3 linked regions of the Schizosaccharomyces pombe genome follow. Changing the gene in region 1 together with any one later gene gives a genetic interaction. Each region holds a gene or a part of one and is shown on either strand. Other genes may lie near its edges.

Region 1 (12,170 bases):
GAGAATTTTTACTTCTTTGAGGATGTGCTGATCGATTTGGCTTTTTGCTTAATTGTTGTGCTATCTTTATTTGCGATGATCTCTTACATGATATGTTCCTTTTGGTCGTGTCATGTAGGGCAGCTGGTGTTTTCTGACGTGTTTTCTGTACATTTCTTTGTAACAATTGTCGTGAATCGTTTGTGAGAATTGTTATAACTTGATGTGCATAGTCAAAAAGTGTGTAGATGATGAGCTAAGCAGTATTCGGTTTTCATGTAATATGTGAGCAGTAGGCATTGTTCGTGAATGAGAATCTGTTGTTTTTAAGTTGTGAAATAAAATGTAGAGAAAGGTGTAGTAGTCGATTAGTTCTTTTGTGTGGATACTGGCGCAGTTGTATTGCATACTCTAATTGTTTATTTTTTCTGAAATTTGGGGGTACTGCTAAATGGTAAAGTGTACGAAGTAATAGTTGCAATGGTAGTTCTGGCTCCTTTGTGTATTCTTAATTAACCTGGTTGCTTATTATGCGTTATTTACTTGCTTAAACTCATTTTATGTTATATAGTTTTATTAACATTTGTTTTGATAAGTTGAGGCGGTTAGTTAACAAAATTAAATTAACAGAAAACTAAATCTGCAATCGTATTATTATCTGATTATCCAATTTAAAAGTTATCTTTCACAAAATCATCAACATAAAAGAATGATTAAGGATATTAAAAGTACAATTCTTCATATGCACAGATAACAATTAATTGGGAAGCATCTCTTGCAATTCACCATTTTCAATCATCTCCGAAACAATATCTAAACCACCGACGAATTCACCTTTAATGTACAATTGAGGGAAAGTTGGCCAATCGGAAAACACTTTAAGACCTTGGCGTACAGAATCATCAGCCAATATGTTAAAAAATCCATACTGAACGTTTTGCTCACGAAGTAATCCAACGAGCTTACGACTAAAACCACATGCAGGTTCTGAAGGAGTACCCTTTAAAAAGAGCATAACATTGTGAGCATTTGTTAGCGTGCTCAACCTTTCATTTAGTTCAGAATCCAACCCATTTGGAGCTTTAGAGGTATTGGAAGTAGTGTTGGTAGTCTGAACGGAATTTACTTGAGTTTCCACGGACGCGTTGGTAGAGGATATTTGGGAGATAAGGGGTTGAATATACTCGTCAATAGCAGCCTTCAATTTTTGAGGATTTGCCCCCGAAATTCTAGCCAAAACTTTTGCTCCGTGGATTAAAACAAATAGAGGAACAGCGTTTACATCAAACGACTCTGCTATATCGGAAAATTTTTCAGCTTCAATTTTTAAGAAAACGGCATTTTTCGTGTCCTTTGCAAATTGATCAAAGACTTGGTTCATTTGCTTGCATGGAGCAGCCCATGGTGCATAAAAATTGAGTAAAATTATTTGCTCTTTTCCATTTTGCAATATCTCTTGAAATTGTTCAACAAAAGTAATTTCGACGCTCATTTCCAATCAAAATAGCACAGCTTGAGGAATTATTTCTTTTCCTACTTTTTTTTTCAAAAACCTAGTTTATTCTTTTTAATCAACAATCAACGCCCTATTTTTTCCTAGTTGGTTGTCGGCAGGTTCGGCTGAGCAGTGTAGAAAACGTATCTAGTAAAATCTCTTCCTTGCACAATAGGCGACGCAAATGATATAATTGCAGCAAAAAACATATCCAAGTAAATTACTCGAAATTTTTTAGTTAAACCACTTTTGATGTACGTTTTGATGATTCTTCTTCACTTTTTTCATTGTCTATTCATTAAACGGCATTCTCGATCTCATTTTTTTAATTACCATCGTGACTGATCAGATAACTTTATCCCTCGGTATTAAAACGTCTGGAAAATAATTTTTTCGGCAAAAAAAACTAGTGTGTTGCGCTTATACTCCGATTCTACGTAATACCCAAACAATTCTGTTAACATTTTATTTTTGTATGTTGTACATAAAATTAACAGTCGCTTTACTAGCCAAATGAGTTTATAACAAGCGACCAAAACAACCAAGATGAGATATGTTTCATACTTGATAAAAACAACAGCATACACATTGATTGATATAGTTAAAGTATTAAAAAATTGCATTGTACTGCTCAGGGCAAGCATTTCTTACACACCTCATTCTTTTGATAGTACGCAAATTGCAGTAAACCATATTGAAAGATAGAAAGAATATATTTCTAAAATCTTTTTAGTTATTTGAACATCTTGAGTTGCCGACTGAACATAAGTAAAGAATAGTATGCAAATTATGTTAAAGCTTCACATAAATTATGGGTTTGCAACACGAATTGACTATACAGTTTTTCTATATTGAGTGTATATTCCGCCACAGGGGTACGCCTTCAGCATACAGATTATTTTACCTATAATTGTGAGTGTTATCTGATTTTTACCAAGAAGCTATAGTGTTATGTAGTTTATTTCACAAAAACCCTATAACATCAAAGCTGCGCATTTGTGCGAACAATTTAGATCCGTTAGAACTATAGGAGTTTTTCTTATAATCTAGATATATATATGAGTAGGTGCACGTTCTTGTATTAGCGTTATAAAAACTCAAGATCAATGATAATACGGCATGCTATAATAATCATACTGGAGTAGCATGCAACTTAATTAAAAGATTCTAGTTCATCATTAATTTTAAGTATAAATGATTAAAAAAAAACAATCTAATACAAAAACTTGTGTCCATTTCATTTCGAGATGAAAGCACTAATAATGGTGGAGCAACCGTATTTTTCTGAAAAACAATCTAGCGTAACGCAACGTATGTGTCAATAAAATTCGGAAGCTGCTAATTAAGGAGGTCATGTTAATTATTTTAAAAGTCATTATCAAAAGGAAAACCGAATTTTAGTCACCAAAGCTCTACGCGTCATACCTCTTGACAGAGGTATTTTGACTTATTTAAAATTAAATTTCTTAAATGATACATAAAGTTGAAAAAGAATTTCACTTGTTTATTTTCTTATTCTAAAGGACCAAGTTATTCTAGTTTTCTTTACTTTATGTTTTGACGAGTTCAAAATGACTGATTTAGATTTGGATTGGCAACTTGAGGAACTGGAGAACGGAAGGTTAATTCCAGAATCAAATGGTATGTATAATAGTATTTATAGAATAACTTTTATCTCCGTCGATATAACAACGATCATTCATATTGGTTGTTCTTTGCCATAATTATAAGAATGGGGTCTAACGTTTTGTGGTAGTTGTTGAACTTTGTCAGCGTGTAAGAGATATTTTAATTGAGGAATCTAACATACAATGGATCTCATCTCCTGTAACCATTTGTGGTGATATCCATGGCCAATTGCATGATTTACTGGAGCTTTTTCGAATTGGTGGGTCATGTCCAGGTACAAAATATTTATTTCTAGGGGATTTTGTTGATAGAGGGTTTTACTCTGTAGAAACATTTCTCCTGTTATTGACTTTAAAATGTAAATATCCGAAAGAGATGACCCTTATCCGGGGAAATCATGAATCACGACAAATAACACAAGTTTATGGATTTTATGACGAATGTGTAAGGAAATATGGTTCTGCCAATGTATGGCGATATTGTTGTGAAATATTTGATTATCTTTCGCTTGGTGCTTTGGTGGATGGAAAGGTTTTTTGTGTGCACGGTGGACTTTCACCAAGCATCAGCAGTATCGATCAGGTATGTTATTAATTCCGAAAATTTGAACTAAACTTTTAACGCTTTTTATGAAGATTCGACTGTTGGATCGAAAACAAGAAGTTCCGCATGAAGGAGCAATGTGTGATCTACTTTGGTCAGATCCAGAAGATATTAGTGGATGGGGTTTATCTCCCAGAGGTGCTGGATTTTTGTTTGGTGCCGACGTTTCTGAAGTTTTTAATCGCGCTAATGACCTTTCATTCATTGCTCGTGCTCATCAATTGGTTATGGAGGGTTACAAAATCCATTTTTCCGATAAAGATAAACAGTATCCCAAATTTACAAATGAAGAGGACTCTGAGCTGGATTCAGATTCTGCCTCACCTGTTGATGATTCTCCGGCACCTGGAGACATAATAACCATTCCAGAAAAGGATAAAGGAAGCGTGGTTACTGTTTGGAGTGCACCCAATTACTGTTACAGATGTGGAAATGTTGCTTCTATATTACAACTTGATGAAAACCAAACGCAATCCTTTAAGATTTTTGGTACTGCCTCTCAAGAAAGATCTGGCATTCCAACAAAACGACCCATTGCCGACTACTTTTTATGATTATTCAAAATTCATTGCTCTACTTCACTTCCCCAATATCATGTATATAGGTCAACTTGTACTAAAGATTATCCCCTTAACTCTTCTTATTGGTCTCTCATTTTTAATTCTGCACTTATTTAATTCTTGTTTATGGAATTTGGTTATTTTAGCAATATTGATTTGTTTAGGACATCATAAATTTAAAAAGTAATTAAGTTAAATTTTAATTGTAACTTTTTTAAGCTAACTTTCAACGCACAAGATTGTTTAGTCGCTTTCTGAAGGTAATTTAAAGTAGATTGCAAAATGCTCGGTTTTCAAACATTAATCCTCATTTGATCGAACTTCAAACCTGAATTCAGAAACTGGGGTGATGAATATCATTTTTTAAGCTTAATGCTGAAAATTTAATATTACATTATTGAGTCAGCTGGTTTGAGTCTTTGTAGTTTAGACTGCACCCCAATTCAACAAATCCGTTAGCCAAAAAATGAAATAAACAATTGGAATTCAGCCTCTGTTTCAATCACTGAATTGTAATCTAATATCATATATTGAAGTCAATAGAATAAAGTCAATGATATACGAGGTATAAACGTAAGAACACCTACATCTTAAACATTCGATATGATAGAAACATTTTTTTCAAATAAATTCTAAGTAATACAGTATCACAAAAAAAAAAAAAAAAAAGATAACGAAGTGCTTGCTGGTATATTAATGATTGTGTCTTAGACAATCAAGTATTCGTGCAAGTAGTATACATTCTGCCTTAAATTAAATATTTAGTCATGAGTCATATAATATACACAATTATGCTCTACCTTTATAAATGCAACATTTACTATTTGATTTTATGATAAGAGTAACCTGTGTTTACTAGTGCAATTTATCTTGGTGTTATACTGGATTTTTGCAGCTCTACCCCAACATCCGCCTAATCAAAATCAAACGTATAAAGTTGTGTAAAGAGATTATTTACTTCTTTTTTTGATACAATTCTTGTATTTAATTTTTTGATTACTGCCTTAATGGCGTAGGTTGTTCAATTCATGAAATGGCTATTACCTTGAACCTGTGGACGCACGAATCATCATTGTTTCCAAACGATGCAGTCTTAAATTATGATTTAGTACCTTCTGCTAAACCTGGTGATATTTTTGAAATAAGGGCCCAAAATGGTGATGAAATCGCTTTACAGCATAATCACTCAAGCACAGGGAAACTACATGCTAAACGTGAAAAAGAACCAGTATATTTGATGCCCTCCCCTTTAACAGATGATTTAAAGAGGCGACATCCGAATCTGCAACTTTCAGTTGTATCTCACATAAGCTCTTTGCTCAATATAAAAAATCGTGAACCGGTGGTTGTCAAAATTTGTGAAGACAAAACTAATTTAGAAGCCGAACATGTGGTAATTTTTTTTCGGGACCAATTTATATCTAGAAGCGATATGTGGAAGCTTTTTAGAGAATTATGCGGTAAATGCGTTTATCTAAAACAGCGTGTTTCCTTTATAGGAGATGTGCCTGGAGAAATTAGATGTATATGGAGAAAAGGAAAAAAATGTCATTCAGCGTACATTTCAGAACGCACTAAGCCAATTTTTCGGTCTGAAAGTGCCAGATTTCTAATTTTTATTCAAATGAGTGAAGAGATGTGGCACTTTGAAGAAGATGGAGAGCTCAATTATAACAAAGCAATAGATGGTTTTCTTCCTGATCTTTTTTCTTTTTGGAGAGACTTAGGAACTCATCATTTGGTTTCTATAATTTTGTTTACTCGTGTCGAGTACAGCCACCATGGGCCTATGTGTGTTTGGCAACCAAGGTCTCAAAAAAATAGTGAAAAAGGAAGTAGTATTTATCCACAAAATTCTTTCAATGCTTCTATTGATAACGAAGGTGGTCCTTACGAAGATTTTTTCAAGGTGGTGGTGGATAATGTTTCTAGCAGAGATTGGCAACCTGTTTTAGCAAATTTGAAACTAGAACTTGCAAAATTTCGACAAGATGTCATTGTTAGGAAAATTAAGGATGAAAATGGGAGAGAAATTGAGTATATATGCGGAAGGATGACAGGATCCCAAGAAGGCAACTTTTTGGAAGTCATTAATATGGCTGTCTTTCAATTTCAGTCAGATTATATCGACAGAGATTTATCACGTACTGGTACTAGTATCATAATAGTTACCCCAGGAACTGGTTTATATGAAGTAAATGAAAAAATGCTACACTTGACTTCTAAAAGCTTACTCAATACCGTTGTTGGTATGGATATCGTATCCTTAGGAAAAGTTCCTTTATTTCTAACGCCTATTGTTCGATACAAAAATCCGGTGAAAAACAAAAAAAGATCCCAACTAACCAGCAGAATTTCTTCTTCCGTTTCCCCTTCTAATGTAATACCAAATTCCTTAACGTCATCAGTTTCAAACTTCTCAGTGTCTTCCTTTTTGAATAATTTAAAGGAGGATACCGAATGGTTATATACATTTCCAATTGGCTGTAACATTAGTTTTTACAGTACTACGGAAATGAGGTCCTTACGTTCTCCTTGGGAAAATTTAATGCGAGAACATCAATTTGAGCCTACTGCAAAAATGCATGAATTACAAATGATGGGTGTACTGGAAGCCGAAAGTGCCAAAATTTCGATTCCATTATTACAGTCTGATCCATTGTTGAAAGGGTCTGTGTTCAGTGAAGAAGTGCAAGAAGATTACGATGAACGGCAATTTACTGGTGAGGCTGCTGTTAGTGCAAACGATGTTTTGAGCTCATCATCTCCTCGCCATTTCTCATCTCATACACCCGTTAATGTGGACAAAAGTTCTTACCTTGAGATGAATGGGCATAGTCTTTCTACAGTAATTTCAGGGAAAGAATCGATATCTAGTTTTGGAGCTAAAGTTGATGATCTTAAAAGCACCAGCAAAGAGTCGGCAAGACAGTTTGGTAAATCTGCCCTCACCGAAAGGCTACAGAAATTAGCTGGTAACTCTAGCAATGTATCGTCTTCCTTACAAACGTCTTCATCTAATAAGTCTTCACTTCTTACCAAAAAGTCTTCCTTTCCGGCTTTATTAAAAGGTTTCTTGGCTCTCCCCGCTACGGTTACTACTTCGGCAAACCCACTTGGTTTCAAATCTACAATTCAAAGACCTATTCCGATCAAAAATAATGAAGATAGTGATAGTTGCAAGGCTTTTAGTCAAGCTCCTCCAATAGCGACAAAAAAGCCCCCAACGTTTTTAAAGCCCAACAGTCCTGAATATGCTAAGACTGTAATTCCGAAAAGTTCTACCAATTTAGAGAATGAATATCAAACACCATGGAAGATTATTCAAAATCCTTTTAAACTGAAAGAGACAACTGCTGATAATGATCCCGTTTCTTTAAGATGGGAACATCTCTATATGAAAGTGCAGGATGTTAGGAAGTTTAATTGGCTTTCCATGTGTACTCCTGGTGCGCTTCCGTTAACTTTTAGTTACTTCCCTTCTGAAGAGGAATTGAATGATAAATTTGAGGAATACACATACACAATTGGAATCGATCCTGAATTTACTCAAATGAATCAACAGGAATTACTTGCTGAGATGATTTGTCAAAGATTATCACGTGGATATCAAATTGTGGTTAATCCAGCTGCCGCGGTCTCTTATAGCGGTAATCCCAAGGCCAATAAGGCAGGAACGATTACCGATTTCTCTCGCTCTGTAAATAATCAAAGAAATGGGCATTTAACAGTAGGCAGTGATGCAGTTTGCCTTTCTCTAGGCGATAGTCAGTTCCACAGGCTTTCATGTGATTCAGTAGGATACAATATTGAAGTAAAGCGTTATGTCAAAAAGGTTTCTGGTCAAGGTAAAATGAGATACGATTATAATTTTTGGTCTAAAAATGAATGTAAATATGTCAAGTCTAATATCACATTTTCTGCCAATGATTCCGCAAATTATAATTGGAATTACGTCGATCAATTAATATGTGGATTTGAGACTTATTTACCCGACTCTGTTAAATATTGGCGAGCCCGTTTTGTGTTGTTACCAATGTCTACTACATCAACACATGTTTTTCAAAAGTATCAATTGCTGGATCATGCGGATGCTCTAAGCGATGAAGAATTTAGAGTTGAAGGTATTTACAAGCTAAGTGAACTTTTGTATAAAGGAAAAATTGACCCCATGAATGACAGCAATAATAAAACACCGAATACTTCGCCTGCTGAACTTCTAGGAATCAAATTTACAACTTTACCAATGGCTCAGTATATTCACTCTGAATTAGAAGCGTTGCGATTGGATTCTTCTAGGAATGAACAATCATTGTTTATGCCTAATAAACGATTAGATTGCTCTGCTGACCTTCATACCATCGCTAAAGAAATTCAAGGGCCTGGTGGTCCTAAAATTGACGATATTACATGGCATTACAGAATTTATGAGAATTGTTTTCTTGGGAGTGAATTTGTTTCCTGGTTAGCTAATACCTTCATTGGTATCAATACTAGAGAAGAAGCTCTTAAATATGGAAATAAGTTGTTAAGCCTAGGACTCTTTGATCATGCATTAAAAAAACACCCTTTGTTAGATGGCTACTATGTTTATCGAATTTCACCCGATTACAGTATCAAACCTGTTTCAAACAGGCCATATCGTAGTTGGTTCAGTCGAAAAAAAGATTCAGGTCAAAAACATTTAGATAATAAAATAATAACAGAATCAGAAGCTGGTCCTTCTCGGTTAGAGTTGTCGAGACGCATTTTGTTTAATGCAGACGTTGAGAAAAAAAATGGGAAATCCGAAACAGTGACCGTCCATTACGATTTGCTTCATAATCCTGCCTCATGTTATCATATTCGCATTGAATGGTTATTGGCTACAGCAAGTGTTATCGAGAAGCTCCTTCAATCTTGGTCACGGATTTTAGAGCGTTATGGCTTGAAATTAGTGGAAGCTCCAATTCATGAAATTGCAGCCGTCGGAGAACTTAACCCCTTTGACCAAGTCTCGATCATTTCACTAGCGTTAGATCCTCCACCTATTCCTGAACGAGCGCCTCTGGTAAATGATCCAGTGAACTATTCTAAGAATTGGTGGAATGTTAAAATTCTTGAGCACTTTGATTTTATTTTAGACACCGAAGCAGCTAGTACGTTTCCGAAATCAATTACCGCAGTTTATTCTTGGGGAAAACCTAACTTTCGTTACGTACAATACATACACAGAACAGGAACTGTGCTAGTTCAAATTGATGATGATCAACGATTTTTGTGGCTTCCAAATCGCCTTCATAACTCAAAGGTTAGCAAATTGAGTTTCACCAAAAGCAACAAAAGCACTTTGAATCCTAATTTGAAAGAGACTGCTGAAGAATTAGAGCGTAAATTTAGGGAATTTTGCTCAAATAAAGATGAGCTGGATCAGTTTTATGGTATTGTGAATCATGCAAGTGATGATCGTCGTAGTATTTATTCTTCAGCTAGTACTCATGCTTCAAATGCTTCAGCAGATGATGCCTCTAATGTTAACGTATAATTATAATCAATTTCATTTTGACACGATTTCCATAACCTTTTTTTACCTTATTAGATTGTTATTACAGTTTTTATATACTTTAATATAGTCAACGTTTATGAATAATTTACTAAAGGTTATTTTTTTTGAGACTACATTTGGAATATACAAATTGTTCGGTATAGCTATTCAAAATTGGATTCAATCAATGATTAAAATTGATGATCTCAGGTTACCTAAATATCCATACATATTTATCTTTGGGGTTTTTTTTTTGAATTAAAAGATCATTTAAATTATACTTTTCATTTATTAAAATAAAGTATATATATTCAGTAACATTATTTGTCTAAAGCGGTTGAAGCTCACTAGTCATGTAAGAGCAAAAATTCATGTTGAATGAATAAATCATAAAATTGTTGAATATTTAATCATCTTTTGCACCGCTGGGACCATCAAAAGATTGTAAAATTTTTAAGGAATTGACGATTCTTCGAGATAAAGCGCTACAGCTGCCATCTACTTGAACAACGCGATAACTTAAATCTATGCCGAAGCTATACTTGATGATAGAAGTTAGTTTTCTAGCAGAACCTTCAGAAATATCGCACAAGGACGCATCACCATCATGCGGTGTTATATTAGGGTCACAAAATTTAATGGATTTAAGTAAATATGCTGAAACTTCATCCACGTCGGTAGTATTCATTGAAGTTGCAGTGATCACGAAAGGTTCTGTTTTTGCCATAACTAAATGCTTTCCCCCATAATGATAACGGAATTCAAACGTTCCGGTTTCCCAAAATAACAGATCTCCGGAAAACTCAACTTCTCCAGAATTTTTGTCATTCGAAAGTGACTTTATACTGGAACAATGAGATGTGTAGCCATTGGCATCAATCGCAGACCACCGACCTTCACTCGAAGTTTGAGTATAAAGATCGCTCGCATTGTCAGATAATTTATAAAGTCCAATCCAATCGTTAATTTCATGATTCGGAGAAGCTGTCCAGCATACCGTAATGGGATGCCCCAATAGTACTTGGTTGTTGTCAATTCCTTTAATTTCTAACTTATAATCAAAATGAGTAGAGCTACTTAATTGAGGAGCAAACAGTTTGAGAATGGCGAGTTGTGCATTTTTACGAAGATTGCTTTCAGTTCCTTTCAATAATTCCTGTACTTTCGGTGGTGCAGTATTTACAAACTCCTCAAGAGCTTCTGCAGTTTGATCCAGAACCTTATCAACGGATGTTGTTAAAGCTTTCATATGCGTCTCGACTGTTTTTGGAAGAATATTTCCTTTTTCAGAAGTAGCCTGTTTAATCAATTTAGAAATACCGGCTTCTTTACGAAGAGTGTTTCCATAAACTTTCTGCATATGTGGCTGTTCGACTAAACGGATAATTGCTAGATTAGAAAGTTGTGCTAGAATTGCGATTAAAAATATCCAAGCAGAACTGCTGATCAATGCAAGACCCCAATAAGCCGAACAACCAAGGAATCGCTCAGGATTGTTAACATATCGATAAATTCCTTGATAAACAAGCTTGGGTGATCGGCTAGGTAAAAAGAAGTCACCGTAAAACCAACCATATTGCCCTAGGTCTTCATATATTGAGACAGATGTATAAATATGTAAAGCAATCAGTCCAAAACCTAAGGCATGTCTTAGAGACACAAGTCCATACGTCCAGTTTGAAGGTAAATGATACAATTTCCAAGCAGCCATAACAAAGGAAATATAAGACATGTTCAATGTAAGATTATATAACCCCTTCCATTGGGACCATGCATAAGCAGCAGATTCACCATTTCTGATAAAATGTTTGGTCCATGCTTTGCTTTTTGATTGGTAAAAAAGAATAAAAGCATGAATTATGGAATGCAAGAAACGCCAAACAAAAGCTTGAAATATAGCCCAAAACTGACTATAATGAGAATTCGACGATAACAAAATTATGAAAATACTATACAAGGCTATGATAAGCAAAGCGACATCGGAAATCCTAGTGAAATCAAAGTTGACAAACCCAACTAAATCATGTTCTGGAGGTAATTCAAATTCATTGTCTTCACCCCGTGGAGACAATCTAGCATGATTGATGTCTGTACCATATGTTCTCTCAATATGGGGGTTTTCAACAAACAGTAAGAAACCAAATTGAGCAGCATGTGCGAGGATGCTAGCAAAAAGAACTGCATAACTACCAGTTAAAAGACTCATACCATAATAACCAGCATAACCTACAGAATACATGGGATGAGGAGCGAGCTCAAAAACTCCGTTGAAAACCAAAGAAGAGCGAAGCAAAAAGAAAAAATCACCCCAATACCAAGCGTAGTCGCGAACAACTCTATGAGCATCCATTTTTACCCAATAGTTGAATACAATAAGCGC
Region 2 (10,509 bases), on another chromosome or scaffold:
AAGAAGTACGGATTGTAATTGCCCAATTTGTGGTGAATACATGTTTAACTCTCGCGAACGCGTAATCTTTTTAAGTTGCTCTCATCCGTTGCACCAGCGATGTCATGAAGAATATATAAGAACCAATTATCGTTGTCCTACTTGTTACAAAACGATCATTAATGTCAATTCATTGTTTCGAATTTTAGATATGGAAATTGAACGACAACCCATGCCTTATCCCTATAACACTTGGATTTCTACCATCCGTTGCAATGACTGTAACTCACGTTGTGATACGAAATACCATTTCTTGGGTCATAAATGTAATTCATGTCATTCTTACAATACTTGTATTTCATCAATTTACAAACCTTTGGATCACCCACAGGTGTCTATCCCTCGACTGGCAACCGCTGAGGATGCCGGTATGCGACGGCTAATGGGACATTCTTGGGACAACAGCGATGAAGACTTTAATATTTTCGGGATTCACAGTTTTATATAGATTTTCTAACTTTATGAACTTCCTAAACTGTTACGATTATCCTATATGTACTATTATTTTGGAAAAGTTGCTATTTTCATTCAATTCTTTGCAAGAATTACGAATTTTTAACGTTTACCCCAATTGTCTGATTATATTTATTCCCTTTTCTCGTCCTTTTGCATCTACTTCTTATATGGTTTTTTTTCTCAACAAGTCAAGCGATGGTATGAAGTAAATCGCTTAAATTTCCTCGATGAAGAGAATTTCTGTTTTAATTAATCTAAACTCATCTACTTTTGTGTGAAGCTATGGTGTCTTGAAACATTCGCAAACATAAGGACTTTGCTTCATGCAATTCTGGGCCTCTCTCAATATTTCAATTTCCTGTTATTATGACTTATATGTTATTTGTCTTGATTTTTTTTACGGCTGGCATTCATTAAATAAAGAGTTTATTGTCATTCCATATTCATCTAATCCTTCAGATTCCTTTTAAACTGACTTTTTGTCTAGAAGATGCGATCATTCGTCAAGTTACTGCAACTATTCTTGTTACTTTTCTATCTGTCGTTGTGATTCTTTAGCAGCATCCAACTACAAAATTTTTTTACCACACTTGCAGTTGTCTCTTAAGAGCAGGTTTAGTAACGTGGATGGGTTGTTAGTCGGAGTTACTAGTCAGATGAAGCGATAATACTAATTTTCTACTATATCAATTTAATTTGGCATGAATAAAATTTCAATACATTGTTACTATGTAAGGTGGTTAACTCAATTACCGCGTGGAAACGATAGTGTCAAATGCAGCCATATGTTTCAAGCCAGTAGTAAATGGCATCTACTGTTGCGGATGTTTAGTAATTTAAAATTAGGGAAATCTATATGAATATTGCAGTATGTGAAAACTGTGGTAGCTTTCTCATTAAGCGCAAGTTAACGGCGATCTCTTTTTATCCAGCCATTTGAAATGAATAATTTGCCTTAGTAAAATTTCACCTGGTTCGTAACTTTAAGGTTCTTTGCTAGAGCATTGATAGGTAACATATTGGTAAGGTGAAAAAAAGCCTCGAAACTAACTCGGAAAGAATCCCCACATTGAAAAGTGCATCACCCTTACCTATAGGCAAAGCCAAGCAGGACCGCGACATTTTCTCTTTACCGCTTACTCTTCACCGTGCTTTTAAGGGAATTCATCAAGATACATTGAAATTGGACGAGATCTTATTATTTTTCTAGAAAAAAAATCCAACGTTCTTTTAAAAACTTCAAAAAACCTTCTTTCTGTAAGGGAATTCGCACGCAAGAGAAAATGTCATTCACGAACAATACTTCAAGTGTGGACACTTCCCTCAGCTCATCTGCTTCTAGCAGTATTCCGGCAAGCAGCTCTTCTGCTGCTGCTAGTACGAGTTTGAGTAGCTCAAGCGTGATTCCTTCTAGTTCGAGCTCTATGCTTTCATCGTCTAGTGCTACTGCAATTAGTTCTTCATCATCGTCTTCACCTCTTTCATCCTCATCTTTTACTTCTCCTGCTTCTTCTTCTTTTATCACATCTTTGGTCTCATCAAGCAGCCAACAAAGCTCTAGTAGCAGTGCTTCATTGACCTCTAGTAGCAGTGCTACACTGACTTCCAGTAGCAGTGCTTCCCCGACCTCCAGTAGTTCGAGTCACGCGCTTAGCAGCAGCAGTAGTTCTCTTGTCGCTAGTAGTTCCTCCAGTGGGATGTCCAGTAGTTCCTTAAGCCATTCGTCTAGTGTCCCATCATCTAGTTCTTCCTACCACAGCTCTTCCATGACTACGAGCGGCTTGAGTTCTTCAGCCAGCATTGTCAGTAGTACGTATCGAGATGGACCCTCAATAATCACATTGGTCTCAACTTCTTACGTTTCTGAAGTGGTGACCCCCACTACTACTAATAATTGGAATTCCTCCAGTTCTTTCACTTCCAGCACTTCGTCTACGCCTATTAGCTCTTCTTATTCTTCCAGTGGCACTTTGCCCAGTAAATCTAACAAGTCAAGCAATCATGTCGGCGTAGTTGTTGGTTGTTCTGTTGCTATTCCTGTTGGTGTAGTTCTAATTTTGATTGGTTTAGGAATTTTTCTTTGGAAAAGGCATCAACGGTCCAAACGAATTAAGGCTGAGCGCATGCAAGAAGTCGAGGAATACGGATTTAACCCCAATCAACCCTCCAATTTCCGTAGCCCAAATCGTGCTCCCTCTACTAATAACAGGTATCGTGGCTGGAATGGAAGCCCAACACCTGCTGCTGGAAACAATACTAACGGACGGCCTGTTGCTCCTAGACCTTCTGCCGGCGCTGGCGGAGCCAATCCGCCTGCAGCTTCTCAGCCCGGCCTTTTGGGTGGCAGTAGTAATTCAGCTGGTCCAATTGCAGCTGCTACCGCTGCTGGTGTCGGTGCTGATGCTTCTGATGCAGCTAATACTGGTGGAAGCTTTACTCGTCCTCAAGGAGCCCGTATGGTTAGACCGATTGGAAATCCACCTGATCTTTCTGCTTCTAACGAAGCTGAAGCTACAATGCCTCCATCTAATGGAAGCAACTTTTCTGAAGGTTTGTCTGCATCTCCGTTTGAGTCAGGCCCTGCTGTTGGTGCCGCTGGAGCTGCGGCCGAAGCTGCAGAACACAGTGGTTCTGGTTCAGATTCCTATCCAGAAGGTCCTTTAGCTACGATTCCTGAAAGTGACAGTGAAAGCATGGCTAGTGATTTAGCTGGAGAATCCTCTTACGGCTCGAGGGCAGCTCTGTCTAGTCGATCTCAAAGCAATCTTCTTTCCCCAACAAGCACTGGTGCTTCTAACCAGCCCAATTATTCACCTTTTGCTGACAACCCATCAAGTAGCAACGTTTCTATTCCTCGGTCGTCATCGGAAGCTCGCAGGTTGAACCTGTTTTAAAGTATGCGCTTAAACACTTGTTGCGATAGATTTAAGCAAAAATTATTTGTTTACAATTTCTGGATATATCCGTCGCTTAAAATAAATGCGTTAGTTACGCTTGCCTTCAATTGATGGTAGAAAGTCTTGCGAAGAAAAGCTTGCTCATCACTTTTTCGTATAACAACTTTTTCTTTATTCGGCTTTTACCTTTGTTTTTTACGAAAATCTTAAGTAATCGATCTTTTCAATCTTATTGCTATCTCTTTGTTTTACCGTTACTCACTCATTTCCTTTTTGCTTGAACAGTTTTATGGTATTAGAAATTCACATTCTCATTGCAAAGCTTTGTTATTATTATGGGTTTCGCTTATACCATCTCATACAATCAATTGGTCCGTCGGTTTACTTTCTTTAAAAAAGGAGTTATTTAGCAAACTATTTATCCTTCTTTCAAACTTTCTTTTTAAACTTAACTATTTGCTTTTTCTCATGGCCCTCTTTTTTTAAGAAAATTTCGTTGCTTGCATTTCATTCAAAGTCTTAAATATGTCATCTGGTTCCTTAACTTATTGCTTTTAAATCGACTTCATCTTTTGACTGACTTTTGAATTTTTCTTTCAATTGTTTCACTGTAGTGAGATACAACCCTTAAAAAAGTCTCTTTGGTTTGTTTATTCTTATCCTTTTCTCATTTGCATTTCATTACTTATCAATCATTTCTGTTTCATTCGCCGTTTCGCTTTGTTTTTTCATTTGTACATTTCTTTACAGAATGGCGAATTCTTGTCAAATGCGACGGAAAGCCAATTTTCCTGAATAGTGTAAAACGAAATGAAACTTTTAACAGCTACCTGTTTTCCATCCCATGGTTTCTTGTTATTGAAAGTGGATAGCAAATAGTCTTTATGACCAGCCATTTCAATTTTACTTTCAGTCGCCTAACCAATCTCGTTATCTCATTTCTTTGAAATAAATGTACATACTGTACTTTTTCCTTTTCTTTTCCTTCCGTTCCTTTTTCACCGTCTCGTATATGTAATGGAGCGTCACGTTCCCTTCGCTGCACTTATCGCTCTTACTCTTTCGTCATGTTGAGGACCATCTAGCTCTACTTTCTCTCGTGTGGCTGGATGTTTACTTAACTTTGTTTTGGCCAGCATGCTCGACTACTGATAATTAAAAAATAAAAATTTTGAGCATTGTCTGTTTAAGAGTTGTTGCTAAGTTCTGGCTTTATTACTTTTATTCGCGGCACTCCGTTTGCCTTCTTGTATGTACCTTTTACAATTCTTCGTTTCCTCTCTTTCTTCTCAGTTCTAACTATCACTTGAACGCAAAGTGGTTAGATATACATTTTCCTCATTCTTTCGTATTAAATCAATTTATTAAATGCTTATAGCTTGCAAATCATACATTGTGCTGCATGATATTTACTTTCGTAGTTAACACGTAAAACGTATTTTCTGTACGCCAAAAAAGATAAAGAACAATTTGGTAATCGCGTTGTATATATATAAGGAAATGGGTTATAATGCGTTAAGGATCTAATCTGCAAGACCGATTAATTCTCCTTTCAGCCAACACCACGCGAAATCCGACGGATTTCAAAATTGTGCGCTGAAAGCACGAATTTGATTAAGGATTCCTTTTGTAGTTCTTTTTTATTTATTTCGTTCCCGAAAAAAGCGTTTTTGTATCAAATAGAAAGGATAAAACGGCCTTAATTGAAAGTTTTTTTTGCAAGCACAAATACTTGACTTTCTTTGGGAAATTGGCTTTTTTTTATTATCCAAAAGCAACGCTGGTTTGAAATTTTACCATCTTTTCCCCCTATGTCAAACTCAGCTCAGTAAGTAGTTCTTTAACTGCTATAAACACATTTGCTAACTTTTATGATTAGATCTCGTCGAATTCGAGTAACAAGTATGTGATGACATTATTCAAATGCCCTGTGCAAACGCTGACCCAAAATAGTTGTTGCTGCTGATGGCCTTTACAAACGAGATGTGTTTCGTTTTCCTGACCCGTTTGCGGTACTAACAGTGGATGGTGAGCAAACACATACCACAACTGCTATCAAAAAGACGTTAAACCCTTATTGGAATGAGACTTTTGAAGTGTAAGTGTATATCCCAGGTTTTGACCTTTCCAAGTAACTTTTATGTATATCAATTTTAGTTGGGGTTTCTTCCAGTTTATCCCTTATAATTTAGCTAATGTTAACTTTTTGATTAAAAACAATGTTTCTAACAATTCTTTAGTAATGTTACAGATAATAGCACCATTGCGATTCAGGTGTTCGATCAGAAAAAATTTAAGAAAAAAGGCCAAGGCTTTCTAGGAGTGATAAATCTTCGTGTTGGAGATGTGCTCGATCTCGCCATTGGAGGTGATGAAATGTTGACCCGCGATTTGAAAAAGTCAAATGAGAATACAGTAGTTCATGGCAAGATAATCATAAACTTATCAACGACTGCGCAGTCAACCTTACAGGTTCCATCCAGTGCAGCATCAGGTGCACGTACCCAACGTACTAGCATTACCAATGACCCGCAAAGCTCACAAAGTAGCAGTGTGTCTCGTAACCCTGCTTCCTCTCGTGCTGGTTCACCTACCCGCGACAACGCACCTGCTGCTTCCCCTGCTAGTTCAGAACCTCGCACATTTAGTTCATTTGAAGATCAATATGGGCGCCTTCCTCCTGGATGGGAAAGACGTACCGATAATCTTGGCCGAACTTATTATGTAGATCATAATACAAGAAGCACAACGTGGATTCGCCCCAACCTAAGTTCTGTTGCCGGAGCAGCCGCAGCCGAATTGCATAGTAGTGCATCGTCTGCGAATGTTACCGAAGGTGTTCAACCTTCCTCTAGCAATGCAGCTCGTCGTACAGAAGCTAGTGTTTTGACCTCTAACGCTACTACTGCTGGTTCAGGAGAGCTTCCACCGGGATGGGAGCAAAGGTATACACCAGAGGGTCGACCCTACTTTGTGGATCATAATACGCGAACTACTACTTGGGTGGATCCGCGCCGTCAACAGTACATTCGTTCCTATGGCGGTCCTAATAATGCTACTATTCAGCAACAACCTGTCTCTCAACTTGGTCCTTTGCCAAGTGGTTGGGAAATGCGTCTTACCAATACTGCTCGTGTATATTTTGTTGATCACAATACCAAGACTACCACTTGGGATGATCCTCGTTTACCTTCGTCGTTAGATCAAAACGTTCCTCAATACAAACGTGATTTCCGTAGAAAGTTGATTTATTTCCTTTCGCAACCAGCTTTGCATCCTTTGCCAGGGCAGTGCCACATTAAAGTGCGTAGAAATCATATCTTTGAAGATTCGTATGCGGAAATTATGAGACAATCTGCAACCGATTTGAAAAAACGTTTGATGATTAAGTTTGATGGTGAAGATGGTTTGGATTACGGTGGATTATCCCGTGAATACTTCTTTTTGTTATCACATGAAATGTTCAACCCCTTTTATTGTTTATTTGAATACTCTTCGGTTGATAATTATACGCTTCAAATTAATCCTCATTCTGGCATTAATCCAGAGCATTTGAACTATTTCAAGTTCATAGGCCGAGTCATTGGTCTCGCAATTTTCCATCGTCGGTTTGTTGATGCCTTTTTCGTTGTTTCTTTTTACAAAATGATTTTACAAAAGAAGGTGACGTTACAGGATATGGAAAGTATGGATGCAGAGTATTATCGAAGTTTAGTCTGGATTTTGGACAACGATATAACCGGTGTTCTTGATTTGACCTTTAGTGTCGAAGACAATTGTTTTGGCGAGGTTGTTACGATTGATTTGAAGCCGAATGGTCGAAACATTGAAGTTACAGAAGAGAATAAACGCGAATATGTTGATTTGGTGACTGTATGGCGCATTCAAAAACGTATAGAAGAGCAGTTTAATGCATTTCATGAAGGTTTTAGTGAGCTCATACCACAGGAACTGATTAACGTGTTTGACGAGAGAGAATTGGAGTTGTTGATTGGAGGCATTTCCGAAATTGACATGGAGGATTGGAAGAAGCATACGGATTATCGTTCATACAGTGAAAATGACCAGATTATTAAATGGTTTTGGGAACTTATGGATGAATGGAGTAATGAAAAGAAATCCAGACTTTTACAATTTACCACTGGTACTAGCCGAATTCCTGTCAACGGGTTCAAAGATTTGCAAGGAAGTGATGGCCCCCGTAAGTTTACTATTGAAAAAGCTGGTGAACCCAATAAACTTCCCAAGGCCCACACCTGTTTCAATCGACTTGATCTTCCTCCTTATACTTCGAAAAAAGATTTGGATCATAAATTGTCCATAGCTGTTGAAGAGACGATTGGTTTTGGTCAGGAGTAAAATGGATAGCTAGCTATTGATTACTTTTGATATTTGAACTATTGGTGTTTAACAGTGAAAAAGAATTTCTGTGTAAAGTTTCCGAAATTATTTTTTTTTTCTCATTTGAGTGAAAATACTTGGATCATCATGTTCTACCTTTGTGTTCTCTACTACCATTTTCCTTCTTCTTTTTATACTTGTTTGCAAACACATTTCCTCTTAATGCTCTTCGCACAAAACATATAAGTTAATTTACTATTATTAAGTTACGTACTGCATAAGTGATTTTATATTTATGAAATTACCGCCCTTTTTCAACATTTTATTTGAAACTGTGAGTAAATAGGTAGTTAGTTGGTAAGGTTTTTGTATCCTGTCCAGGTCGTTGCTTATGTGGTAGTTACCTGGTCACCGTAGTAAATAGATGACATGAAAAGTTTACCCACAACTATAGGCTTTATTGAATGAAAAGGGCTTATTAAGAAAACAATAGCCGCTTCAATACATGTGTAATCAGACCGCAGAGCTATGACAGTGAAGTTGTGTTTATTATCGTAAACATTTATCATTTGTTAGTAATAAGTTGAATGCTTATACATTGGTCAAAATTCAGTAATATCGAATTCGATAACTATGAAATCTCGTGCAAATATTTATTTTTTGGATGTGTGAACCTATAGTAAATAGTATAAATTCTTATAGCGAGTTAAAAAACAGTATAAACCTTGATATTAGAGTAGAAGGTGAAATATCGTGATACAACTACAAAAAGTATTCTTTTAAAGAGGTTAAAATGTCATTGGATAAGGTAACAGAATAAGGTTCGTAAATTGCTACCTTTAAGGAGAATTGGGCAGTGGGGTAATCGATGGATGTGTAGGTATTTGTTTGGGGGTCTCATCGGCTTTCCTTTACCAACCACAATAGCCTTGTAAAACAATCCTGTTTGCATGTTACAGAAAAGAAGTAAACAAGATACATAATGTTCAAATCACTAGTAAGAAAATCCTCAGCTTTTCAACCATTAAAGTATGGAGGTAAATACACGGTAACGTTGATTCCAGGCGATGGAATTGGACGAGAAACGAGCAATGCAGTGACAGAGATCTTTAAAACGGCAAACGTTCCTATCGAATTTGAAGAAATTGATGTTACAGGAATGGAAAAAAACAATAAATCGTCTGGAGACGCGCTACATGAGGCAATTCAATCTCTCAAGAGAAATAAAGTGGGTTTAAAGGGAATTCTGTTCACTCCATTTGAAAAAGGAGGCCATACCTCGTTCAATGTTGCCTTGAGAAAAGAACTCGATATCTATGCCTCTCTAGTGCTCATCAAAAACATTCCTGGATTTAAGACTCGTCATGACAATGTTGATTTTGCAATTATTCGTGAAAACACTGAAGGTGAATACTCGGGTCTCGAGCACCAGTCGGTACCGGGAGTCGTGGAATCTTTGAAAATCATTACAGAATACAAATCAAAGAGAATTGCACAATTTGCTTTTGATTTTGCCTTACAAAATGGCCGCAAATCGGTCACTTGCATCCACAAGGCTAACATCATGAAATTGGCCGACGGTCTCTTTCGAAGGACGTTTTACGACGTTGCTAACGGTTACGACGCTATTACTCCTAAGGATTTAATTGTCGACAATGCCTCCATGCAGGCTGTTTCTCGTCCCCAGCAATTCGATGTTTTAGTGATGCCGAACTTGTACGGTAGCATTCTTAGCAACATTGGAAGTGCTTTGGTCGGTGGCCCCGGTGTCATTCCAGGTGCCAATTTTGGTCGTGACTATGCTCTATTCGAGCCTGGTTGCCGTCATGTTGGTTTAAGTATTACTGGACGTGGGGAAGCCAATCCTACAGCTGCCATCCTTAGCGCTTGCTTGATGCTTCGTCATTTAGGCCTAAAAGATTATGCTGATCTTATCAATGCCGCTACTTATTCTGTCATTGAAGAGGGTAAAACCCTGACCAAAGACTTGGGTGGTTCGGCTTCCACTGGTGATTTCACGCATGCCATTTTAGAAAGAATGGAAAGCTTATAATTTAATTATTCCCCCCTTCCTTTTAAATGATATACCCTCCTGTTAATGAGTGTAATGAAAGCTATTGAAGTCTTAGGCTTTTAGCCGTGTCAACTACAATTTTGACGCTCATGTTACTACTCCTTTTCTCTAAGTAAGTTGAAACGTTTCGGAAGCTTTTTTTGATATTTACGTCTTCTATCAGTTATGATAACACCTCTTCCGTCGGCAAGGAACTCCTGCCTGACAAGAAGATGATGAATTTTTCTTACGTACGTTCCGAATATGATTGATATTTTAATTTCATTTTTGTGTGGATTTTCCATACTTTGTAGTGTCTGGTTTGTTCGTCCTTATTACTTTGTATTTGATGTAAATTATGGAATTCTACTTTTTATAGCATAAATGCCTGATTAGTCAATTTTGGAACGAAAAAGGTTTGATAATTTCCATTGTGCCTCCTCTAATAATCACAATTGCTAGATACGTCGATTTTCCAGAAAGATAGAGGATGGTAATTAGTTTCCTAAAACCCAAGTTTTATTTTTAAAATTTAGTTATGAATACTCTTAAAGAATAATTTAATAATCTTTAACAGGATTTAGATTAACATAGTGGTTCACAGTCTATTCATGTAGATTTACACATTCATCTATCTATGTCGATAACAGCAATGCACAGCCCTTAAATGTGAAAGATGTGTCTTTTAAAGTAGTAAAAGGTTAGTTCAAACACATTACTTAA
Region 3 (9,375 bases), 2.1 Mb from region 1:
TACCTAATGATACTCAGCTGACTAGGACAATTATTAAAAAGTATCATGAAGAAGGTAAATTGATTCATCCAGGCATTGAACTTCTTACAAACATTATATTACGTAGATTTACGTGGAAAGGAATAAGAAAACAAATACAAGAATATGTACAGAACTGCCATACATGTCAAATAAACAAATCTAGGAATCATAAACCTTATGGACCTTTACAACCAATTCCCCCATCAGAAAGACCTTGGGAATCTTTATCAATGGATTTTATTACAGCTTTACCAGAATCATCTGGTTATAATGCACTTTTCGTGGTAGTTGACCGATTTTCAAAAATGGCAATCTTAGTACCTTGTACGAAATCCATTACAGCAGAGCAAACAGCTCGAATGTTTGATCAACGAGTTATTGCTTATTTCGGCAATCCAAAAGAAATCATTGCAGATAATGATCATATTTTTACTTCCCAAACGTGGAAAGATTTCGCACATAAATATAATTTCGTTATGAAATTTTCGTTACCATACAGACCACAAACTGATGGACAAACTGAGCGTACAAACCAAACTGTGGAGAAATTACTAAGATGTGTATGTAGCACACATCCAAATACATGGGTAGATCATATATCCCTAGTGCAACAATCTTACAACAATGCGATACATTCAGCAACTCAAATGACACCTTTTGAGATAGTACATCGCTATTCACCAGCTTTATCACCTTTAGAGTTACCTAGCTTTAGTGACAAAACTGACGAAAACTCTCAGGAAACGATCCAAGTATTTCAAACAGTTAAAGAACACTTGAATACAAACAACATAAAGATGAAAAAGTATTTCGATATGAAAATACAAGAAATTGAAGAATTTCAACCTGGAGACCTAGTTATGGTCAAAAGAACGAAAACAGGTTTTCTTCATAAATCCAATAAATTAGCACCTAGTTTTGCAGGACCGTTCTATGTGTTACAGAAGTCGGGTCCAAACAACTATGAATTGGATCTTCCAGATTCAATCAAGCACATGTTTTCATCTACTTTTCATGTTTCTCACCTAGAAAAGTATCGACATAATTCAGAACTCAATTACGCTACCATTGATGAGTCTGATATTGGAACAATTCTTCATATCCTAGAACATAAAAACAGAGAACAAGTACTCTACTTAAATGTCAAGTACATTTCGAATCTAAATCCGAGTACTATTATGTCAGGATGGACTACATTAGCTACAGCGCTACAAGCGGACAAAGCAATTGTCAATGATTATATTAAAAACAATAATCTAAATATCTGAGAACATATGACTTATCCTCAGATTTACATAGAAAATCTTGGGGAGGGCAATGTCAGCAATACTACACTACGCTATAATACACTACGTTGAGTATCACTATATGTCACATGTTCTAATTATATATCGTACCATGTATGATACGATATGGAGATTGATCTTAATGATAATCTATTAAGATCAATATTATCTGAATACTATAAATAGAGCTACTGCTGAACCTCGTTCCTCAGTTCAGTTATGAGCTATATTAGTGATAGGTAACATTATAACCCAGTTAATACAATACCTATACTCAGTTGCTACTTATACAACCTGTGTATTGTAATATAATAGATCACAAGGAAAACTCACCGCAGTTCTACGTATCCTTAAATCAGATACCAAACTGCGTAGCTTACATTAATGAAGCAGAATGAAATTCACTAATCTTTACAGATTTTTTTAATAATACCGTTGCATACAAATACATAGGTAAATGAATGGACTAAGAGTGTTTGAGCATGTACACTGTTCTGTACTGTATAAGTTTAATAATATTGTAAAGTTTGATCTTTACAATGTCCTTCTTTTTCTTCTTTTTCTTTTGCCCGTTTTGTTTGTTTTTGCTCGGTCTATGATAGAATTCGATGATACCTATCCAGAGTCAGTAAGTAAGGTAAGGTAGGGCAAAAAAGGGTAGGTAAAAAAATCTGATGTAGCTGTTTAAGTGGAAATTAAAGATGATGAGAAAATTCGACGACATTTATAAGATGAAGGTTTCAGTGTTCCATACGTTCTTTGTTACCATGATTCTTTGTTTTCTAAAGCGGGAAACTTACGGGAATAATTTATAATACTGCGCAGTTATGTTATGTTGGCCATAACGAGAGCGATGATGAATCATAATGATCCATCATGGCGATCAAATGAGACGGAAACCAAAAAACCGTACGAAGATGGACACCGATTGGAATACAAATTCATAAGGAGCAAGTGTCAGTAATAAGAGAGTGATATTAATGATGAAAGAATAATATCAACAACAAAAAAAGTAACATTATTTGTGAATGAGTAATATACGCTGCGTACGTAGCAATGTTGCATGTCAAAAACAGAAACAAAATTAGAGATTGTGTGCCAGTGCAAACAAAGAGGCCTTGTAGCATAAGAATCGCCAAATTGCAATGGGCTTATTAAGAGTATTTTTGATTACTTACATTCACTCTGTCAGCGAGCCAGACCTTCCCAGAAACCGCCTCTTCGATCAACCCATTTGCCTCATTTGTTGATATTTGCACTGTTTGTCGGTAAACACATTGCTTGTTTTCACCATTTGCTGCTCTCGAGCCTCCCTTGTCTTCCTCGATCCGAAATATACCGTCTTGCTAATTGCAATAAGTTACAATTCCAAATCTCCTTACTACGTTGCTGCCTTAGGATTGTGCCTTATTCCGCGGAGAGCATTCACGGAAGAATTATAAAACTATTATTGTACACCAAATTACAAAAATGGACTTTAATTTAACAAAAAAATTTTTCCTTTCCTTCTATGGATGTCTTTGCTTTTCAACTTTTATCCTTTCTCTTTTGAATTAAAAATACTGATTGAACCTCTTTTTAATAATATTTATTTTCTTATATACGAACGGTCACAAGGGCATTATTCATCGGCTTCCTGCGTATTTTGCAGATCAGGCGGATACAGATCGACGGGATGCTCCTGACCTTATGAATAGACTGGTACGAGTAAGGCCAACTGTGATGATTTCTAATAAAACTAATAAGCAATTTGTAGCCTCGAAGCTTTTGCGCTGGTAGGTTACAATAGAGTATTTCTTGCAACAGTAGACACCTCTCACTTGCTACGTATTACTTGTGGCGTGGGGACATACTGAGCTTATGGGAGGAAACAAAACAATGACAGTGAGATCAGATCAGATTTAGCACCATGAATATGATTGAGAATTCCTTCTATCCATTTTTGTAAACTTCTCAAGGAAATATTATATTACACAGGAAATCATTGTATTTCTATCGGTATATTATCATACACCAAAATCTTTAGCGGTTAACTTTCTCGCACTGTATACACAGCTTTTATAAAAAATTTCGTTCTCTTGCTTTTTAACAGATATTTTCCTTACATACATATTTCAATTTTCTGCACAAGCTCGTTTCACTTTATTCCGTTATTAATTGATGTAATCGTCTCATCGCGGCCCTCTTTCATCAAAAAATTCGTCACTTATGGAAACACGGTTCTCTGCATTAATTCGTTTAGCGTAAACCTAATCACCGTTATTCCAGAATAACATTAACGGAAATAACATGCGAAAACAATTACACGAGATTATTTTTTATGACGCAAAATCTTGATACCGTAACTTCTATGCGCCTCATTAAAATAAATTTTGAGCAATCATCCCATCTCTTCATGTTTTTAACATTCACCGTGAACCAAGTATTTTCTAGTGATTCTTGAAATCAAAAGGGCTTTAAGAGATCGATTTCTAGTGAAATCGCTCGTCAGTTTTGTCTTGCTTTTTCTCTAGATTTTGGTGTTCAATCGACTTGGTTTGCGTGGACTGCTGATCTATTGCGAATCTTGCGAATATAAACTGCCCATCGAACCTCTCATTTTCTCTAGCCTTGGGTTTCTTTTCATTTTTTCAGCTCCTCTTAAGAAGGTGTGTGCTCTACTTTAATTGACAGTCTGCTATTTTTTTTTAATTAGCTTGTTCTTACACATTTTTGGGTTGATAATTCACATGAGATTTTGAATTATTAAAACAAAAACATCATCACTAAGGGAGACATAAAGCAAACTCATAAAGTTCCTTTGTTCAGCTTTTTTGTTACCTTACATCCCTGTGTTAAATTCAAGTCGGTTTACTTCTTTCTCATCAATTGGATTACTATTACTTTCTACGGAAGAAGAATAGGTATAAATCATCTTCAAAAAAATTTGGATAATAGGCGAAAGAAAAAAGTCGTTGGTTGTTTGGTTTAACGACTTTTTTTCTTATTTCCATACTTCGTTAATTCTTTCTTCTCTTTAATTTCCTGGTGGGTTTTTCCTTTTCACATTTTTTAAGTTCAATTTAGCAGTGTTCTTCCACTGTAGGGTTTGGTTTTTTTAGGTGTACTTGGCATTTTTACACACATTATTTTATTCCTGGTTTATCATTTCATACTGGTAATTTTTTTTAAAAAATTTTCCATTTCTATTTTTTTTTCCATTCCTTTGTTTTACCGACAAACGCTTAGATTTTCTTATTACTATGCCATTAAAACTTGCACTACCTCGTTCAACCACGCCAAAAGACCCTGCTCGCTGTACGTTAGATATACGTATGGAATCACCGCCGCTGGTATTCCTTGGCTCGCCGGAAACGTCTAGTGGTGCACTTGCGTCTGGCATTTTAAAACTGACGATTTTACATCAACCTTTTATTAAAGTACATACCCTCAAGCTGCAACTCATAAAAAGGATCACCGTTCTTCATCCTGCAATCTCTCATTGTTCTGCTTGTGCGGGTTCAAAAGAGGTTTTACAGACTTGGGATTTAGCTGCAAATACCACATATAGACCTGGTACTCAGCATTGGCCTTTTAGTTGGCTTTTCCCTGGTTCGCTTCCTGCTTCGGTTTCTAACAGATACATCAAGCTTGAGTATTATTTAGAAGCTACGTTATGCTATGGTACTCCTGAAGGCGGAATTTCTCCCTCGAAGCCCGAAGTTCTTAAGTTTCCTCTCCAACTAAAGCGAGCTGCCATTCCTTCGCCTGATACCATCCATAAACGTATCTTTCCCCCTACGAATCTTGTTGCAAACATTACTTTGCCCAGTACCTTGCATCCTCATGGAGCTGCGCTTATGGAAGTTACCATGACTGGTTTTGCCCAAAATGACGGCAACGATTGGAAGATCAATAGAGTTACTTGGAGATTGGAGGAGCATATGCAGTTTAGTTGTCAACCATGTGAACGCCATCGTGATTTGGTAAAACCTCGACCTATTGAAGAAAAAAGAATTTTGAGTACACAAGATTTACAATCGGGATGGAAGTTCATTGATAATCAGATGTTTCTATCTACTCAAATTAACACATCTTCTTTAAGAGAGCCAAGCTGTGACGTGGAAATTCCTGCCCCTTTTTCCTTAAAAGTCTCTCATCATTTAATTTTTGAGACCATTGTTAATAGAAAAAAGAACGTTGCGGGAAACAATATGGGCAATGCCCGTATCTTACGAGTATCAGTCGTTCAGCCACTTACCACGCCAGCTGGTTTAGGTATTAGTTGGGATGAAGAATGCCCGCCAGTTTTTGAAAGTGTAGGACCCGCTCCGCCTGCCTATACCTAGAATATGTGGGTCGGATGTAACCGGAAGAGCTCGATCACCATCACATAACTATCAAAAAATGAACATGGCTCTTTTTATTTTTTAATTCACAAGTTTTATTAATTTAAGGGAACTATTTATAATATCTACATTCATCATTATCTGTTTATTTTTATATTTTAAACGTAAATGCATTGTATAGTAGTTGTCGCAATGACAATGAGTAATATGCCTTCGGCAAATGTCCATAAAAACTCTTCATTAAGATGATTAAAATTAAACCGTGAAATGGGTATATGAATTTCCAACAAAGAATACGAAAACGAAATTGATTGTTGAGAGTAAACTAGGGTGAAAAGATACAATTAAACGATAGACAAGTTATGCGTAGTTTTGCAATTAACGATAATTTAGGCTTATGGTGCCTAAGCTTATGGAATTGTTAAGGAGCGGTAGACGTTACTTGTACAAAAGATAGATGTTGTCCTGATAAAATAAATTGGAGCAGTTTTTTAAAGTTCCTGAGTATGTCCATGGATTGGTCAATAGGTAATCCAAAAGTTTCTAAAAAATCATTTACATCCTGGTTGAGAAGATAAATGGCATGTTCAAAAAGCTCAATTGGTCGAGTTGCTGGATAAAGGGGAAAGATACGCGTGGGGATGTCGGGTGTCAATGTATCCAGGATGGAGGATCTCGAAGATGCGCAAAGAATTGGATAAGCGAGTTCTTTTTCGAGATACTTTGAAAGAGTTTGAAGTAAATGCGCCAAAAATCCTATGGAAGCAGCCATTTCCACATTATTAATTTTATCTGGCTCAAAAGATAGGCGGAGATTGCGAATTGTAAACTCGTCATGATTGCCAGGCGATGGTTGGATTGGGTAAATTTTGGAAAGATGGGAAACGTGCATACGAATAGCATGTGCCATAAGGATTCGAATCTCTATATTGGTCTCTACTTTTGTTTTTAAAGAATTGGCAAGTTCCACATACTCAGCTTCATCTTTTTGAAGGGATTCTTTGGATTTGTTCAAAGTGTTCCTTTTTGAGGATAACCAGCTTTTCGTCTTGTCAAATTTCGTCCTCATCTGAGTGATGCTATTAATTTGTTTTTGCCAAAGATGTTCTAATTTAGCCAGTTCATCGATTTTTTCATCCCGAAGTAACATCCTTTTGTGCATCAAACGTATCTGCTGAAACTCCTCCTCCTGAAAATGAGCTCGAATTTCATGTTTAGCAATGTGCATTTCATCTATGCATTCAGCCAGTTTCAAAATTCGAGTGATTTTCTGAATAGTGTAACCATCCTTCCGCCTGTCTATAGAATATGTGGAGGCACTTTTTGGAAAGGAGGTCTGTCTCATAATATCCGAAGACTGGGATGTTGTGTAGATGTAAACGCCATCATTAAATTCACATAAAAGACCGTTTCGAATATGACAAACTGCAAAAACAGGCTACAAATAATATGTTAGTCAACACAAGGGAAACATAAGGTAAACCAAAAATATTCAACCGTACATCATTACCAATATAACGAAAATTACTGTCATATCTCAAAATTTTCCATTCTTTATGTAGCTTGAAGGCATGACTACTTGATGAGCACCAAGTCCTCACGATAAAGTACTCTTCGTGACGGTATTTTTGAAGCTTTTCGGTTACTTTTTCATCGACGTAAAAGATGTGATTCTAATGAGAGGTTAGACACAAAGAACATAAATACATACAAAATTTGTATATGGGTAAAAGAGATACAAGGTATAAACTATCAATTGAGGGCTTTGTTTCAAGGATTTGAGCAACGAAATTTTGGCAAATCACTTGTATAAACAAACTGATTAACCTTTTCAATCAAGCAAATAACCTAGATATAATGATACCATTCAGATACTTTTGTTTATCAAAGCATGTTCACATACAGCATTTCCGCTCGTTTCAGTAATATAAACAGGCAATTTCTTACTCTGCACATGCAATGATATAAAAATACGAATAGTTCCTTCGGAAATTGCACGTTTTAACTGCACATCTCGTTTCCACAAATTTTCCGTCGTATTGATCGCAAATTTGCTATGATTTTGAATTTCTTGAACATTTCTTATTTGTATTGATTTAAGCCTGGAAAGTCGGTAGTTTCCTGGTAATTCAAGCGACATTCTATCATGGTTAAAGCAATGAATGCTTTTGCTTCATCGCATCGCCCTACTTGGTAAACTCAGCTGAGTCTGGTGCTAGCGTAGGATAACAATATACTGGTTTAGTTCGTTATTGTCAGCAATACTACACTACGCAATGATACTCCACGTTGCATATCACTATATGTCACATGTTCACAATGTTCTATTTGCTCTATCAACTATTACATGATAAGTCATCAAGATGGAGATATAATATCATTCATGATAAGATAACTATCAGATATAATTCTTACTACTTCAAATATTATAAATTGAGAACAACTGAACCTCGTCCCTCAGTTCAGTTATAAGATATATTAGTGATAGGTAACATTATAACCTAGTTAATACAATACCTATACTCAGTTGCTACTCATACAACCTGTGTATTGTAATATAATAGATCACAAGGAAAACTCACCGCAGTTCTATGTATCCTTAAATCAGATACCAAACTGCGAAGCTAACATTATATGCACTTTATTGTCAGCAGCAAGACTTCACTAAGCCCTTTTGCGTGTCATTATATGCTACCATTAATTAATTGGATTATAATACTATACATAATATAATCGTTAAATGTATTTATATTAAATTATATTTAGATAATTCTGAAACTTTGCCGTAATATATCTTATTCTTAAAGCTGGCCACTGATCCTTTAGCTCAGAACTCATTCTTTAAGGAAATTTAGTGTCTTCCGTAATGGTTGAATGAATTTAAAAAGGTTCAATAAAATAATATAGCAGAAATTAACTGTAAAGAAATTTTTTAATTGATAACTGATGTGAGTTTGAATCAATGGCGAAAATTTTTTTTTTTAATTGCTTTATTACTGTCTTCGAAAATTGATGTACTATGGCCCAGATCATTATGAGCAAGAAGGTCTGAGCCAAAAAAAAAAAAAAAAAAAAAAAAAAAAAAAGAGTAAATCAAACATTATTACCAACAAAAAAGCACGCTTTCAGTTTTTACTATTCATTTGTCCGCTGAAGAAGCACAAAAAAAAATTTGATACTTTGTTTTTGAAAACAATTTAACCATATTTACAGTCAGCAAGAAATAAAACGCAGAAGAAGTAAGTGAAATAAAAAATAATTTAGAGCAATATTATAAGCAACCGAACAGAATTGCTATGATCAAAATGGTATTTAAGAAATTTAAACAAATTCAATAGTAAACGCTGTTACATGTTGCTAAAAACATTATCGGCCAAACCAGTAGAACTTCCAGAGTGAGCTTATTTTCCTTATTATAGGTTGGACTTGCTAATGTTGTTTAAATAATTTAACTATAGATATATTCTGTAAACAATCGAAGTGTCATCAAGCCCGTCCTGAAGAAACCCGATAAAAGATCTAAAAACACAAATTAATTTACAGTCACAATAAACAAATTAAATATTTTTTAGTATGCGGCGATAATTTTCGTTAAGAAAGGAACCAGTAACAGTGGGTATTGCATATGTGCATACAATTGGAATGTGGAGATGAAATGTAAATAAAATCTGCAAACATGATAAAATGAAACTTCAAGTTATTTTATAATTTAAATCCACTTTGATTTGACTTCCGTCTGA

Evidence for each region.
Region 2: of iml1 (region 1) and pub1, changing one suppresses a phenotype caused by changing the other (phenotypic suppression), as found in Schizosaccharomyces pombe (one study listed by BioGRID).
Region 3: of iml1 (region 1) and any1, changing one suppresses a phenotype caused by changing the other (phenotypic suppression), as found in Schizosaccharomyces pombe (one study listed by BioGRID).

What each region holds. Positions count from the first base shown.
Region 1 is NC_003423.3:3,946,805-3,958,974, reverse strand, and holds iml1 (GATOR1-SEACIT GTPase activating complex subunit Iml1), read left to right. Parts: upstream 1-5,165; 5' UTR 5,166-5,299; coding exon 5,300-9,790; 3' UTR 9,791-10,065; downstream 10,066-12,170. Other genes in the region: CIA machinery monothiol glutaredoxin Grx4, read right to left, coding at 737-1,471; pph3 (serine/threonine protein phosphatase), read left to right, coding at 3,046-3,115, 3,231-3,685, 3,739-4,260; phosphatidylethanolamine N-methyltransferase Cho2, read right to left, coding at 10,197-12,170.
Region 2 is NC_003424.3:3,958,120-3,968,628, forward strand, and holds pub1 (HECT-type ubiquitin-protein ligase E3 Pub1), read left to right. Parts: upstream 1-4,946; 5' UTR 4,947-5,203; coding exon 5,204-5,220; intron 5,221-5,271; coding exon 5,272-5,294; intron 5,295-5,345; coding exon 5,346-5,490; intron 5,491-5,632; coding exon 5,633-7,751; 3' UTR 7,752-8,053; downstream 8,054-10,509. Other genes in the region: SPOM_SPAC2F3.16 (ubiquitin-protein ligase E3), read left to right, coding at 1-487; protein Mtl2, read left to right, coding at 1,779-3,389; isocitrate dehydrogenase (NAD+) subunit 1 Idh1, read left to right, coding at 8,716-9,786. UniProt on the Schizosaccharomyces pombe protein: E3 ubiquitin-protein ligase which accepts ubiquitin from an E2 ubiquitin-conjugating enzyme in the form of a thioester and then directly transfers the ubiquitin to targeted substrates. Regulates ubiquitination of cdc25.
Region 3 is NC_003423.3:1,804,662-1,814,036, reverse strand, and holds any1 (arrestin-related substrate adaptor Any1), read left to right. Parts: upstream 1-3,717; 5' UTR 3,718-4,549; coding exon 4,550-5,635; 3' UTR 5,636-5,779; downstream 5,780-9,375. Other genes in the region: Tf2-9 (retrotransposable element/transposon Tf2-type), read left to right, coding at 1-1,289; phophatidylinositol 3-kinase complex subunit Vps38, read right to left, coding at 6,057-7,073, 7,138-7,308, 7,539-7,775.